3 linked regions of the Arabidopsis thaliana genome follow. The protein of the gene in region 1 purifies or fractionates together with the protein of each later gene. This does not show direct contact. Each region holds a gene or a part of one and is shown in the gene's direction. Other genes may lie near its edges.

Region 1 (5,203 bases):
TGCACTGGTCCTCGGGGTGATTGTGTTTAGTTTCCTTAAGTTGCTCGGCGTTAAGTTCTCCAAGGAAAAAACGACACCAACCGATGTGTGAAGCAAAACATCTTATTTGGGAAGTTGTTGACTACAATAAAAACTAGTCCTGCAAATTATGTAGATATAATCATATAATTTATAATTAAGAAATAAAGTAAATTACCCAACTATATATTTAAGATATATATACATTATACATAGTGGTTACTGTATATGCAAACTATTTTGCTCAATAAGATGATTAGAGATTTACTTTTGGCTTTCCCTAAACAAAAAAACCGTATATCCCGCGTTTGCCAGAAAAAAAACGACTCAAAATCAGCTTAAAATAGAATTGAAGAAATTGCATTGAAACCACCAAATAAGGGAAAATCTTCTGGCTATCCTTTGACTTCCAACTTCTACATCCAATAATCATCCGCCACGTAGCTTTTATGCATATGTAAAAAAGAAATAGGCAAGAAAAAAAGAGAGCCTTTGTGATCGAACAAAGAGGACAACATTTGAGATTTCTTTCTTCTTACGTTACCTCTCTCTTAAACAAAACAAGAAACAAGATAACAACACAAATAAGTTTGAGAAAAAAACTTTTTGATTTGAAGATAGTAACATTTTGTGTAGTTTTCTTAACCAGGTATCATTTTCTTCTTCTCCAAACAGAAATAGATGTGTGTGTTTTTTATCTTATCGTTTGTTTATATATTCCTCTCAAATTTGCAGAAACTCATAGCTCTTGGACATCTATATGAATCTATTTCTTTGTTAAATAGGGTTTTATCTACTCCACAAACATGTAAGTTCTTTTTTATTTTTCTTAAGATTCTTATCGCAATAGGATTCACGCAAAAACAATTTAATTCTTTGGCCAATCTATGCATTACCGAAAGTTGTATCCCTAAGAGAAGAAGAATCTCAAAGAAAAAATATTAATTTATGAAAAAATGTTTATTTTTTTTCCTTGGTGTGCAAGCTAGGTATGCATCTGCAAGTTGAATATGACCTCACCTATGAAGGGTCTATTAAAAGGTTTGAGGTACATTGCTCGTATCTTCGGTGAGTTTATTTGTTCTCGAAACAAAGATCATATATGTCTATACAATTACCAAAAATCAGATTCTTAAATCTTATAAAAAAAAATTGTTGTAGAGGATGAGAAGGAACCAGAGATGCAGATTGGAATACCAACCGATGTCAAACATGTTGCTCATATAGGATGGGAAGGGCCCTCAGCTACCACCCCAAGCTGGGTATATCCTTCTCTCAATATTTTTATAACATATTCTACATATCTTTTGTTTGTGGATTAGGTCAAATATTTTCATGGGAATATGCAGATGCATGATTTCAAGCCTACCGATCAAACGAAGACTGAGACGAAAGGAACATCTAACAAAAAACCTGGGAGTTCCGGGGAGAAACATAGGAAGGGAAGACGTAAAACATCAACAGGAAACAACTCACCTACAGAATCTCCATCAAGGGTAGGAGGATCAGTAAGGCCATCAAAACGCAACACGGGGAAACAAAGAGAGCAGAACACGGGTTCAGGGTCAGAGTCAGGTTCAGGATTAGAGTTACCTCAACAGACTGATCAGTTTGTTGTACCAAAACAATCAAAGCAAAAAAAGTCAAAAGGATCAGCAACAGGAGGAGGCGAACCTCCTCCATCTAATGAACCATCAAACAAGAAAGAAACAGATATATCTGTGAGAGCGGTTTACCCTTGTGCGGGTCTTGGAAGTTCTACAGGAAGATGAAAGATGAGGAACAAAGAAAGAGAGTGTTATATTTTCAAGATTAGACTAGAGTGTGGTGGTGGTGGTGGTATTGTTTCTTCTCATGATTGATCTACACACTTTAGTCTTTTCTCTCCCTTTTGTTGGAAATGCCTTTGCATTACAAGACCAATGTTTTATATCGCGTCGAGAAAAGAGAACCCTTTGATGATTGTGAACCAGGGATGTGAAATATATGCTTGCTTAACACTCTTAAATTATTCTCAAGGAATCTTTCGATTGTGTTCTTAGGATTCAATTAGTAATAGACTTGAGTGTGTTTGACATATCTATTGGGCTTCGATTGTTTGTTGCGTTTACATGTTATAATAGGTTTTTATTTCTTGGTTCAAACGAAACCAAAACTTAAAAGTAAATCATTTTTTTCTACTGAATTTTGTTTTTGATGCTTTTGATTTCATTTGATCACTTCAACTTTAGTTCCAGGGTCTTGACGATTTAATTCAAAAAGCAAAAAAATCAATAGGAAACAAAAACTCATAAAGGACTTTGACATACAGATGGGCCCATTGTTTATGACCAATCCTTATACTATATATGGGCCTTATTAGTTAAACCTAAGGCCCAAAGTCAGATTAGGGTTTTCAGAAAGTGTACTATAAATTCTTCTTCTTTAAACAACTTCGTCTAGTGGAACGACGACGGCACAAAAGCTTCACCGGAGATCAGAGACGCGAAAATGGTAAATTGTTTCTTCTCTTTCGATGTGATTTTGGAATTTGTAAAGTTCGTTGACTTTGAAGAACAACAATACATGGTTGATTGATTTATTGTATTGTTTTTCAGATCTATCATAAAAGTTTTCAATCTAAATGATGTTTGTATTTTGATTAACCTTAAAAGTCTCTTGATTTTGTATGTGTGTGAGTGATTCATTTTTGATTTTATGAATTTTGAAGGTGAACATTCCAAAGACAAAGAACACTTACTGTAAGAACAAGGAATGCAAAAAGCATACTTTGCACAAGGTTACCCAATACAAGAAGGGTAAAGACAGTCTTGCTGCTCAAGGAAAGCGTCGTTATGACCGTAAACAATCTGGTTATGGTGGTCAGACTAAGCCTGTCTTCCACAAAAAGGTAACATTGATTATCATGCATTGATTGTTTTTTCAGTTTGAATTAGGTCTAGTTAGTTGAAATGAGGTAGTTTTAAGGAACCATTTATAGTAGAATTTTGGAAGTGAGCTGTGAGGAAACAGACATTCCAATAGTCTCAGTTTTGGACTGAGATACATCTTGTGAATCTTGTTAACAGGCTAAGACCACGAAGAAGATTGTTTTGAGGCTTCAGTGTCAAAGCTGCAAGCACTTTTCGCAGCGTCCTATCAAGGTGCATAGAACATAGATCAGTTCATTATACCGGATTTGTAACTTGGTAATTTGCTTACATTGTGTTGGTTTGTTGTTTATTTCAGAGGTGCAAGCATTTCGAGATCGGTGGTGACAAGAAGGGAAAGGGAACATCTCTGTTTTAAGTTGGTTTCATCTTATTTTCTGCGATTTTTGTACTTGCTGGATTTGGAATCCATTTGTTTTAGCTCTCTCGTATAAGATTGTCTCATCTTTGCTTGTTAACTCTATATTTTGAATCATCAAGATATGGTTTTGCTGTTAATCATTGACCTTCGATATTTTTTTGCCAATCCGTTCTCTCTACCAACCTAAGAAAAAATCACTAATATCTCACATTAGAGGGTGCAAAATTTGGAAGGTCTATATCATTGTCCAATTTTCTGAGTCATACAAATTCTTTCATATGATTCATTGAACAAGACACTCATTTACTTATAAAGCGCATTTATATGTTCACATGATTTGTACAAAACTCATGAGACTGCATCAAGCAGAAAGTATTTATTTATCTTTACATGTCAAAGCTTTGAGAATTAAGCAATGACGAATACCCTAAGTTCACCTCTGTCCCCGCGAGTTATGCGCATGGTATCATCAACATAGGTAACTTCGAAATCCCCAGTTCCAGGGTTTGACGATGGTCTGAAACTGTCGGGAAGCCTCGGGATATCAAACGGAGGAATCTGCGACAAGTTTCCCGATGTCTTCACAGTTGTTTTCTCAAATGTTATCTTGATCTTGCAAGTGCCTGTTTTCCCCATAAATGTCAAAGATACAGATAAGTTATTTTGCTCTTACACAATTCGATAAACTTAATGAGAGAAAGGGAAATGCAAACCTAAGAGTTCAAACTTGTGTGCCAATGTCGCAGTGGCTTCTAATGGCGGAAATGGCCAAGGGGCTCCTAATTCCACCTCTGCTATGTTATCAAAATCTTTGCTAAACACATCAATCCGTTGAAACACCTGTTTTAATGATTCAGAAACAAGAGATAATATTAAAGAAGTTTGCTTTCTACCGATTCAGGTATGGTTCTTTGCCAAATTTAAACCAAAGAAAGCTAGATTCTAAGCTCATCACCATTCAAACTCAACCAAGAATAAAGATGATTGACTAAGACCGTACACATAAACTTGGCAATATAGAAAAAAATGATTAAGGAGTAGATGACATTGCTAGATTCTAAGCTCCTCACCATTCAAGCTCAACAAAGACTACCAATGATAGACCAGACCGTACACATAAACTTGACAATATAGAAAAAAGTTTGCTTTCGAGTATAAGATGACATTACCAAATTGTAACCTCAGAAAGCTAGATTCTTAGCTCAGCCCCATTCAAACTCAAGCAAGACTATTGATGATAGACTAGACCATGCACATAAACTCCTCAACAACTTACCCGAAAAACCGAATCTTGACGGGTAAAAACAGAGCAATGATTCAAGAATTACCTGGCCAAGAGTAACAGGGATCAAACGTCCAGTAGGTAGACCAGGACGGCTACCACCTAAAGACCGAGAAGAGAACGCACTACTATACAACAGCCTCCATTTCCCTTGAAGCTTATCAAGATCATCGGTTAAATCAACCGGTCCCCCAGCAGTTTCAAGTTCTTTAGCAGCCACTTCAGCTCTTTCTAAATCATCAACACTCGCCACAAGTCCTCTGTTTAATCCCGAAACTACACTCTGCAATTTCTCACAACACAACACATCACAAATCAAATCTGAAAAATCTTCCCAAAATTCACTCTATAATCGAATCTTAACAGTAATATAAACCCTAATTCCAAAGAAACGAAACCAATTTCTTATAATTTCACCGATTGGTTTGAATCAGACTCACAAGTAATTTGAGTTTGAGTAATGCAATTTGCTTGTCGTCTCCTCCTGATCCAGATGATGATGGTGGTGGGTCACTTTCTCCGCCAATGGATACTTCAACGAGAGACGAATTAGCAGCGAGGTTTCTCTTCTCCGGTACAGTGAAACCCAAACGAGACGATTTTGGAGTAGTT
Region 2 (5,540 bases), on another chromosome or scaffold:
GACCTTACTTTCCTATTAAACAGATTTATTCTGCTGAAGTCTCTGTGTTTCTTGGCGGGAATAAACCTTCTAGAACTGCGGATTTACGTGGTGACATCAGTGTTAATTTTTCATGTGATCCAGAAATCTCCTCTAAACTGGTATGTCCATCTTCTAACACTATCTGACGGGTTTCTCTATATCTTTGGCTGCCTGTTGGTCACCAAAGCCACCTCTGTGTCCTTCAGGTTGATTTAGCTTTAGAAGAAATTGTACGGCTTCAAAAGGAAGGCCCTTCACAGGAAGACATTTCAGCTATCCTTGAAATCGAACAAAGAGCTCATGAAAATGGCATGCAGGTATTTTTTATTGCCATAATCATCACAAATCCATCACAGCCAAAAAACCATAATTTGCTGCAGAAACAAAACTGATTTAATTTTGTTCTTGTCAGGAAAACTATTACTGGTTAGACAGGATTATACGTGGATATCAATCAAGGGTTTACGCTGGCGATTTGGGCGCCTCTTGCAAGGTCAGTTTAGAAAACATTTTTTGTCAATACTTTGATCATTTTTTATAAACACAGTCTTACGAAAAGGGAAGAAACTTCTCTGTGGTTTTTAGATTTTAGAAGAAGGGCGTTTGCGAATGAGAGAGTCACTTGCACCACAAACAGCACAAGCTGCATTACAGCGAATCCTTCCTCACCCGTGCAAGAAACAGTACACTGCTGTTATTCTCATGCCGCAGAGATCTCGTTTTGGATTTCTTTCATCTATCTTTAGTTCACGATCCGAGGGCCCTTATATCCGTGATACCAAGGTCAGTGTTCATCTGTTCTTTGTCTTGTCTCCGTAAATGTAACATTGCAATCACTAAGATATGAATTTGGATCTTTGGTTACTAGATTTTGGCTGGCATTGCGGGATTGGGTGTTGTTGTTTTTGGCATCTGGAGATACTCTCGCAAGTAGAAGTATGAACTCTCTTTCTTTCAATTTTCTGATTATTTAACCCCAAGATTTCAGAGTTTTTAAATGTATCTGTGAACCTCAGCGTTTATTATGTAAGTTCCCATTATTTTTCATGAATATAGAAACACAAACTTATTTGTTTGCTACATTGTTTGTGCCATGACTATCATAGTTTTCAACTTTTGGTCTATACATTGAGACAGGAATAAGCTAAATCCTTCTCTTCAGCTAGCTCTCGTGCAGAGTCATCCATTTTCTCCCTCGAAAACTCGTCTATACTGAGTCCTTGTACGATCTTCCAACTCCCTTTCTCACAGATAACCGGAAACGAGTAAACCAAACCAGGTGGTATACCATATGAGCCGTCAGAACAAACACCCATAGAAACCCAAGTTCCTTTAGGGGTTCCAAGAAACCAATCACGGATATGGTCACAAGCTGCACCAGCAGCGGAAAAAGCACTCGACTGTTTCCGTGCTCTTAAAACAGCTGCACCGCGTTGCTGAACTTCCACGATAAACTCGTTCTTCAGCCAGTTGTGATCTGTGACTAGTTCTTTTAACGGTCTGTCTCCAGTTTTTGTAGAGACTGTTGCGTGATTGGTGTCGGGATATTGAGTTGAAGAATGGTTACCCCAAACGATCACGTTCTTTACACTGCTCACGGGAACACTTAGCTTATCTGCAAGCTGAGCTAGAGCTCGATTATGGTCGAGTCGTGTCAGGCAAGTGATATTTTCTTCCGGGATTGATGGCGCAAACTCTTTTAAGATCAGAGCATTAGTGTTTGCAGGGTTTGCGACAACAAGAACCTTGCAATCATCTGATGCATAACGCTCTAAAGCCGAAGCTTGAGCTTTATATATCACAACATTTTTCGACATCACATCTTTTCTTTCCATGCCTGCTATCCTTGGGAATCCGCCGATCATTATCACGATATTCACATCTTTACATGCTTCAACAACATTTGTTGTCGCGATAACGCCTTTGAGAAGAGGGAAAGCTGAATCTTGAAGCTCCATTTTCACAGCTTCTAGTGAACTTGAAGCTGGCTCTATATCAAGTAAATGCAGAATCATGGGTTGATCTGGACCTAGCATAATACCTCTTGCAATCATTGGAGCAATTGCATATCCTATGTTTCCTGTTCAATAGAAAGTTCTCAATTAAATTAAGAACAAACGACCATAAAGGTAGGGAGTAGTAGATAAAAGACTCCAATAAAAAAACACTGAACCAAACCAAATAAATTGATAGAATTATAAATCAAAACATAAACCGGATCGTTTTTTGTTTGAGTTCTTACCTGCTGCACCGGTAATCAAAACCCTTATAGGATCTTTCTCAATGTTTAACAAATTACACATGTATATTATCATTTTCCATGACAAACCAACACAAAACAGTAGAACCAAAACTTTCTGAATCACAAAAGTATAATTAATTTCTTCTCCAACGAACTCCATTGTTTTCCAAGTAAAAAAGATAATAAAGCAACGAATGAATGTCATGCATTCCAAAGTTCAATTTATAAAACCAAAAAAAATAATCAAGAAGACATAAGGAATCTATGAAAAGCTTCTAAGAGGACATAACCTGATACTTAACAAAACTTCGTCTTACAAAAAATCTAAGTCATGCAACAAAAACAAGGAATCTATAAAAAGAAATGTAGCCAAATAAAGATCCTCAAACTTTTATTTTTGTTGGTTAACATGGGTGATTAATTAATCGAACCAATCAGTTTAAATTCGAGTAAAACATTTACTTCATATGTATTTGGGCCGTAAATGGGCTACTAAAATAAGAAAGCGTAAGAGGGAAATGCCAAGCATAATAGCACAAAAAATAGGCCCATTAAAGCCCAATCATTTATTTATTTTAGGGTTAACTCAAAGTGCCGCATATATATGCTTAGTTCTCTTCCTTCGTCCCCTTTCTGTCTCTCGGCGTTCTTCAATCGAAAGGTACTACTCTCTCTCTCTCTTTCTCAATCTAGCTCAATTCTGTGTCCTTGACCTAGCTTTGAACAGATCTGTTTGATTTCCGGTGAAAAGAATCGATTTTGAAGTGGTTTTTTGTAATGGGTAATCGCAGGTAAAGAGTTTGAAGAAGTAAGTCACAGAGAAAGAGAAGATGTCTGAGAAAAAGGGAAGGAAAGAGGAAGTGATTACCAGAGAGTACACCATTAACCTCCACAGACGCCTTCACAAATGGTAAGATTTCACTCTTTGTGTTCATGTTTTGAGCTGCTTGTTGGTTAATATCATAGGGTTGTAATGAAATTAAGTTAGCTAATCTTTTTCTAAATGTAATCAGACGTTTAGTCCAGAGAATCTGATCTTTTGAAATTCATGGTGTTATTGAATTCATGGGGAAATGGTATCTATTGTTTTGAAAAATCGTATCAAGTGTGTTTTGTTACTTAAAGTAAAAATTTGTACTGATTGTTTTTTGGATTTACTATCGAAATTAGTCTTGAAATGAAAGGGTATAGTTCATTTGATATATCTTGTAAAAGAGAATTAAGATTAGAGTTTGGTTTGTGGAATGTGGTTTTTTGGTGGGTTTGGTTTTATGTGATTAAGTATCTCTACTTATGTATTATTGGTTTGTAACAGCACCTTTAAGAAGAAGGCACCGAAAGCCATCAAGGAAATCAGGAAGTTCGCAGAGAAAGCTATGGGGACTAAGGACGTTAGGGTAGACGTGAAATTGAACAAGCAAATCTGGAGCAAGGGAATCAGAGGTCCACCAAGGAGGATCAGGGTTCGTGTTGCACGTAAGAGAAACGACGATGAAGATGCGAAGGAAGAGTTCTTCTCCCTTGTCACTGTTGCTGAAATCCCTGCAGAAGGACTCAGTGGTCTTGGCACAAAGGTCATCGAAGAGGAGGATTAAGAGAATCAGTAGAACAAGTTTTGTTTGGTTTTTTACTTTTGTTGCTGTGTTTCAATTAAAAGTCTTGACCTTTCACTTTCTTCATTGTAGTGCATCTTGAATTTACTTATGCAGTTTATTGAAGAGACCCATTTTCTTCTTCATGATTGACTCTTGTTTTGCTTTGGAATTTTCTTTATGCTTGTTAATTGTCGAATCTCACATTTACACAAAGTAGATCGTAGGAATGATCTGTGTATAAAATTATGCTAGATGTCGTCCAAATTATTTTTTATTTTTTACTTTTTTTTGACAAAAAAAATAAATCAACTAGGTTTAACTTTGAATCAAGAGCTGTTGATAAGATGTCTTGCGCTGAGAAGTACAGCTGTGTTCACCTTCGCTACTTTCATGCTCGGATCTGTGTAATCGTAGCTTCTTAAACAGGCATGAGACTATTTGACTGAGCTTCCGAACTAGTAGTTTACAAGGCCATAAGGCAGAGACATACAGATTGTAGTTTACCACATAAAAGCCAGACGATAGATTGTTCGAAAACAAGTTCCCACATTCGAAGAAGAAATACAAAAAACCATACTCTTAGATCATTTTCAAGTTTCTATTGTGAAGCATATCTCATAAAACTCAAATTCCATGATACCGTTCTGGTCTGCTTAAGATTGATGAAGATTTCAAGCAACGAGCATGTTTGAAGATATAACTCAAGAAATCCCTCTCTTCAGGTGTTCCTATGTAACCTGCAAACTCAAAAGTTTCAAGACTCTCCAACAAACATTTCGGGACGGAGCTCTTATTATTTTTCCAGCGAACCGGTTCATAATCCCCCAAACTTGACGGATACTAAGATTAAAAAGAAAAAGTAAAGGTTAGAATACTACACTATAGTGTGAATTTAGACTACAAAATAGTCGACGAAGAAACTTACATCATCAACGAGGAGATTGAGGACTCGCAGGTTAGGTGAGTCTTTGAGAAACTGGATAAGTAACTTGGACCAATCACCATTGCATATACATAGCTTCAAATTTTCAAGCCGATTGAAGACTATTCCATCACGATACACAGTCTGCACACATGACAACACAATAAAAAAGGATTCAAGCTCAAGAAATCCGATTTTGTGTCTTTAAGTAAAAAATATGAGGTAGGAAACATGACATGAAAGCAGATGACCTCTGTATAAGTGTTGAATATTACGCGTATAGAAAGGCGTTTGAAAAATGTAACTGATTCGAGAAGCTTCTCGGGATACTGCAGAACAACAATATCTGCCTCTTCCAGCTCTGGCATTTGCTCAATCAAATAGGACATACTTTCTCTATAATCCACAACTTTGAAATACTTCAAAGAAGGAGTAACTATCACATACCCATCAGAAGAACAATTACCAGGTATCTCTAAGGATAAACGCTGCAAGGATGGGACAATAACAACTAACGCTCTCAAATTGTCATAGTCTTCTCGTACAATACTCAGATCTTCCAGAACAGGGCAGTAGGATAGAAGCAGGCGAAGAGAATCTTCATCTGAGTATCTCAAACGTTCAAGTTGCAAAGTTTTCAAGGAAGGGAGGAATACCGTTCGAGGAACATCCAAAAGAACCTTCTTACCGTAAAGTTTCAAAGTCACGAGCGATTTGCAGGTATACAAACTACTGGGCAATGATACAGCAGCTGTCGTAT
Region 3 (4,869 bases), on another chromosome or scaffold:
AAGTGAAGAGCTCTATAAAGTTTGTCCTTACATACTCATCTCTACGTTAGTTCACTTCTCCATTTCTCTGATACATTTCTGTGAAAAATGTTGTAGTATATACTGGAGACTAGTGTGTACCCACGCGAGCCAGAGGTTCTCAGGGAGCTTAGGAACATTACTCATAACCACCCTCAAGCTGGTATGGCTACTGCACCAGACGCTGGCCAGTTGATGGGGATGCTGCTGAATCTGGTAAATGCAAGAAAGACTATCGAGGTTGGGGTTTTCACTGGATACTCTCTTCTCCTCACTGCTCTTACGCTACCAGAAGATGGCAAGGTATTTGCATAGATATGACCAAACCAAAAGAAAAAGTGTCATGATGTTTTTCGTTGTTTTGCTTCTGTATCATTTCTGCAACTGATTTGGTACACGAGCTCTGCAGGTTATCGCCATTGACATGAATAGAGACTCGTATGAAATAGGATTGCCGGTTATAAAGAAAGCTGGTGTTGAACACAAAATTGATTTCAAAGAGTCTGAAGCTCTTCCAGCCCTCGACGAGCTTTTAAACAATGTACAACTTCATACTTCTTTGTCTTTCAAAAAAAGAATTAGTATGTATCCTGAGATGGTCTTTTTGTTTTGATGTTTGTGATGCAGAAAGTGAATGAGGGTGGATTCGACTTCGCATTTGTGGATGCAGACAAGCTGAATTATTGGAACTATCATGAGAGGCTTATTAGATTGATCAAGGTTGGTGGGATCATAGTGTATGATAACACTCTCTGGGGAGGATCAGTTGCTGAACCGGACTCGTCCACGCCCGAGTGGAGGATAGAAGTCAAGAAAGCAACCCTCGAGCTGAACAAGAAACTCTCGGCTGATCAGCGTGTGCAGATCTCGCAAGCTGCGCTTGGCGATGGTATCACTATTTGCAGGAGGTTATATTGAGCGAGTATTGTTGTTCTTTGTGATCTTTAGGGTCATATGATTGTGAGCCCTTTATATTGAGCTATTGTGATGCAAGAGTGTTATTGTTCTATGTGATATTTTGGTTCCTGTGTGAATGTGAACCTTTTCTATCAAGTTTGTGGATTTCTTCAAATTTCAAGATTATAACAGACAGTTACGAAGAAACACAACTCATTTTATGTTTTGTGTCTTTTGGCAAAACTCCAAATTCTGAACATTGCTCTAAAATCTAATATAAAAAGTAAAAAAATGAATGGGGCGTTCCGAGAATCGAACTCGGGACCTCTCGCACCCAAAGCGAGAATCATACCACTAGACCAAACGCCCACATTGATATATAGTTTGCTAGCTTTTAATACAATGTATATTAAATAATTTAGTTTTGTGATATAAACAGTAAACAGAACAAGATATTTTCACCCAAAGTTAAAAAATCCAACGTTTGTTCAAAAATAAGAAAAAAACTATCCAAAGTTAAATTATCAAATGTTAAAAATCGTTAGACGTTAATCACAATATAAAGGAACTCTTTTTTTTTTTTTTGAGTTAAGAAACACTTAGTTGGGCCATAAAAATATAGGTCTAGTAGATGAAAGGCCCATAAAATCAACTAGGGTTAGTTCTTCTTCTTATAGAGCGCCGCATATAAGCTTCATCCTTCTCCGTCACCACCGGCTCTGTATTTCGGCATTTGTGGAGAGAAGAAGGTACTCTCATCCCTTTCTCTTTCTTATCTTAATCTCCTTTTTTAAAATTTGTGACAAAGTAAAATGAGCTAATCTCGTCTTTAAGATCATATGTCAAAACTGAATTTGAGTTTTGATATATTCAGGTAAAGAGAGAAGATAGAAACATAAAATGTCGGAGAAGAAGGGAAGGAAAGAGGAGGTGGTGACCAGAGAGTACACCATCAACCTTCACAGACGCCTTCATAGCTGGTAATTTCCAAAACACCAAAAACACTTTTGTCTTATTGCTTCAAAGCTTTTACTGTTAGATAGTGGAATTGGAATGTTGATAATGAGCTCTTAGCTAATGTTTTAATTCGATTGCTCTCTATGGATTGTGACATTGAAATGTTTGATCTTCTTTGTGTGTAAAACTAGTACCTTTAAGAAGAAGGCTCCAAAGGCGATCAAGGAGATAAGGAAGTTTGCTGAGAAGGAAATGGGGACAAAGGATGTGAGAGTGGATGTTAAATTGAACAAGCAGATTTGGAGCAAAGGTATCAGAGGTCCTCCGAGGAGAATCAGAGTCCGAGTTGCTCGTAAGAGAAATGATGATGAAGATGCAAAGGAAGAGTTCTTCTCTCTTGTCACTGTTGCTGAAATCCCTGCTGAAGGACTCTCTGGCCTCGGCACTAAGATCATTGAAGAAGAGGATTAAACTATCTTATAGTAACAACAACATTTGATCAGATTTTTCGAGTTTTGTTTTTCGAATCTTTATTGGAGAGAACATTTATCTTCTTGAATCCTTAAGCCTTGAATCATAGTATGCGATTGAGACAGAATCTCAGTCTTGTGTCGTAAGTAGTCTTCAACAATCCTTACACTTGTTTCGGTAAAGTTTGAGCATCTGGTTCGATCATGATAATATCTGCAGCTATGAATAAGTTTATGCACCTCTCTCAAGTGAATTGCTTGAATAAATCAAGAGTATTACATGTATGAACTGGAATCTAGTTCGAGTCAATCATGAGTTTTTAAACAAAACGAACTTCAGAGTTTCGTATCTATTTACAACAACAGAAGAATGTTCTTTAGGGGATAATAGAGTCAAAACTTGCACTCTTGCTATCACAAATTCACTCTGACGAGGTTTGAAAGTAGCTATTATCTCTCTACCGTGCTTTATATGCATACATATAGTTCCTCAGTTTTTTCACTTCCTCAGATGACTCCTCTAGAAGATGGTCCACGTATAGACAAATTCCAGCTCCACTGCAATTTCGAAGTACAGAAAAGTTGATGCAAACTTTAGTTTTACATACACAGGGGCATATAAAACAACACAAGGTTATATCTAAGCGATAGATACACATACCAAAGCGGCCCAAACGGAAGCCAGATAGCATCCCACCGGAATTTCGGAAGCCTAGAACACGGGTGAGATTTATAAGCATAAATTTACAAAGAGCACGAATGGAAGGAATAGACAAGAAATGTCCTTCATGTTGAATACAGCATAAACGACTAACACAAGGATTCATGCCACTAACAATGGCATTATAATAATGAAAGTTTGCGAAGTGCAAGATTGTATCGAAAAGAAAAGAAATGTATACTCTCTAGTGTACCTCAGCAAGTAATAAAGCCAAAAGATGGTCAATGCAGATCCAACAACACAAGAGTACCAGAACCATCGTCTATGATCATTCTTCTTATCTCGTAGCCCGACAATGGAGAGGGAGCAAGCCATGATAGCGATCCACTCTGATCCAAAAATCCAGTGATAAAAGATTTATTGTTCTAGTAATCAAATAACATGCGAAGCCAAAAATGAATTGAAGATAAAGCAACAAAGTCTTCTGAAGGCAGTAAGGTTTCAGTATGACCATAATTTGTTTTATCTTACTGTACTAGCAAAGACGCAATTTGACTTCCCTCAGGTCGAAAACACTCAAAATGCAATCACTCTTTCTAATTCTACACTAATCCACTAACAGATATGCTCTTAGATTCATATGCATATAACATATCTGTTTTTTCCCATGTTGTTACAGGATATTACACAGAAACTTCCACACAAGCTCAGAATTGGCTGTACCACCATATCGAATGGCAAGAGAAATCTAATAAACCGTGACTACAAAGTAAAAAAAATCACATAGATGTAAGACAAACCAGCTGAAATGACCATCCATGACTTGAGATCTTCCATAAAGTAGGCATGATACCGCTGCTCAAAAAAAATGGCATCCATAAGAACCCATGGAATATAGAACGTAGATAACGTGACATTTGTGTATGTATGTATAAGTGCTTGCAACTCCATACGCAGGCAGAATTAGTGTATCATACAAAGATTGCAAGTGTATTAGCTCACAATAGTCAGCAAGAAACTCAAAGCTCTAAATCCGTAATCTATCGTTAAAAAACAAAATCAATTTTAAACTGAACTCTTAAGTTTTAATCCAACTTTGTCTTCTAAGATCAAAATCGCTGCAACTGAAGACAAGTGATCTGATCTGAATTTTAACTTTGAATTCAATTCAACTTAAGCAACAAAACTAGTCAATCAAATGGAATTGCTAGAAGGACGAACAAGGCCACACTTAAGGAGAGATTATCAGTACCAGTTCCCATGGTGACATGAACTGCTGGAAAATGGAGTAGAAGAGGAAAGCTCCAAAGCAGATCAGAAGAACCACAAACACGCTCTACACAAAAGATAAACACAAACTTACTTAAGAAACAGAACTCCTCAAAATTTTGCAGAAATTGAATATTGTTCTTAGATCATACCCTCCATTGAAGACTTTGCTGAGCATGAGCTTCCTCAAGATACCGAACGTACTCCTCCTGCTCTGTAAAACGACAGTGATAGCAATAAACTATTACGAACTTGCTTTTACAAATCTGCCAAAAATTCCAGAGGATGAGAGAAACAAAATAAACCTTGCGTATCAATAGGCCGAGAATCGACGTCTTCAGAAGTAGGAAGGACGAACTTATCATCATCTTCGTCACGACGAGTTCTCCGCCATTTTCTCGCTAACTTCTTCATTTGATTTTTCTTCAGATTGCAGAAGTAGAAGATGGAGAAATTAGGAAAACTTCAATGAGCATCATCGTTTCTTCAACGAAAGTGTCTCCAGCCAAAACGCCTTTAAGCTACGGCCTATTAAGAAGCCCAGCCCATAGTTTAGCAAGATTGATTCGGTTTCTTATCTCCGGCTTGGTTTGCTGT

What was found.
Region 2: the proteins of AT3G23390 (region 1) and AT5G56710 fractionate together in Arabidopsis thaliana (co-fractionation; one large-scale study listed by BioGRID). This does not show direct contact.
Region 3: the proteins of AT3G23390 (region 1) and AT4G26230 fractionate together in Arabidopsis thaliana (co-fractionation; one large-scale study listed by BioGRID). This does not show direct contact.

Annotation. Positions count from the first base shown.
Region 1 is NC_003074.8:8,372,919-8,378,121, forward strand, and holds AT3G23390 (Zinc-binding ribosomal protein family protein), read left to right. Parts: upstream 1-2,414; 5' UTR 2,415-2,508; coding exon 2,509-2,511; intron 2,512-2,728; coding exon 2,729-2,908; intron 2,909-3,086; coding exon 3,087-3,161; intron 3,162-3,246; coding exon 3,247-3,306; 3' UTR 3,307-3,518; downstream 3,519-5,203. Other genes in the region: RIC5 (ROP-interactive CRIB motif-containing protein 5), read left to right, coding at 1,029-1,086, 1,180-1,280, 1,368-1,790; FIB4 (Plastid-lipid associated protein PAP / fibrillin family protein), read right to left, coding at 3,718-3,932, 4,023-4,149, 4,638-4,874, 5,032-5,203.
Region 2 is NC_003076.8:22,942,321-22,947,860, reverse strand, and holds AT5G56710 (Ribosomal protein L31e family protein), read left to right. Parts: upstream 1-2,867; 5' UTR 2,868-2,924; intron 2,925-3,054; 5' UTR 3,055-3,093; coding exon 3,094-3,173; intron 3,174-3,578; coding exon 3,579-3,858; 3' UTR 3,859-4,154; downstream 4,155-5,540. Other genes in the region: AT5G56730 (Insulinase (Peptidase family M16) protein), read left to right, coding at 24-140, 228-338, 434-514, 607-804, 890-955; c-NAD-MDH3 (Lactate/malate dehydrogenase family protein), read right to left, coding at 1,143-2,101, 2,264-2,423; AT5G56700 (FBD / Leucine Rich Repeat domains containing protein), read right to left, coding at 4,483-4,698, 4,784-4,924, 5,032-5,540.
Region 3 is NC_003075.7:13,284,211-13,289,079, forward strand, and holds AT4G26230 (Ribosomal protein L31e family protein), read left to right. Parts: upstream 1-1,526; 5' UTR 1,527-1,664; intron 1,665-1,789; 5' UTR 1,790-1,815; coding exon 1,816-1,895; intron 1,896-2,063; coding exon 2,064-2,343; 3' UTR 2,344-2,581; downstream 2,582-4,869. Other genes in the region: AT4G26220 (S-adenosyl-L-methionine-dependent methyltransferases superfamily protein), read left to right, coding at 1-19, 97-321, 428-559, 646-936; AT4G26240 (histone-lysine N-methyltransferase), read right to left, coding at 2,801-2,900, 3,004-3,054, 3,257-3,392, 3,804-3,858, 4,256-4,339, 4,425-4,486, 4,578-4,686.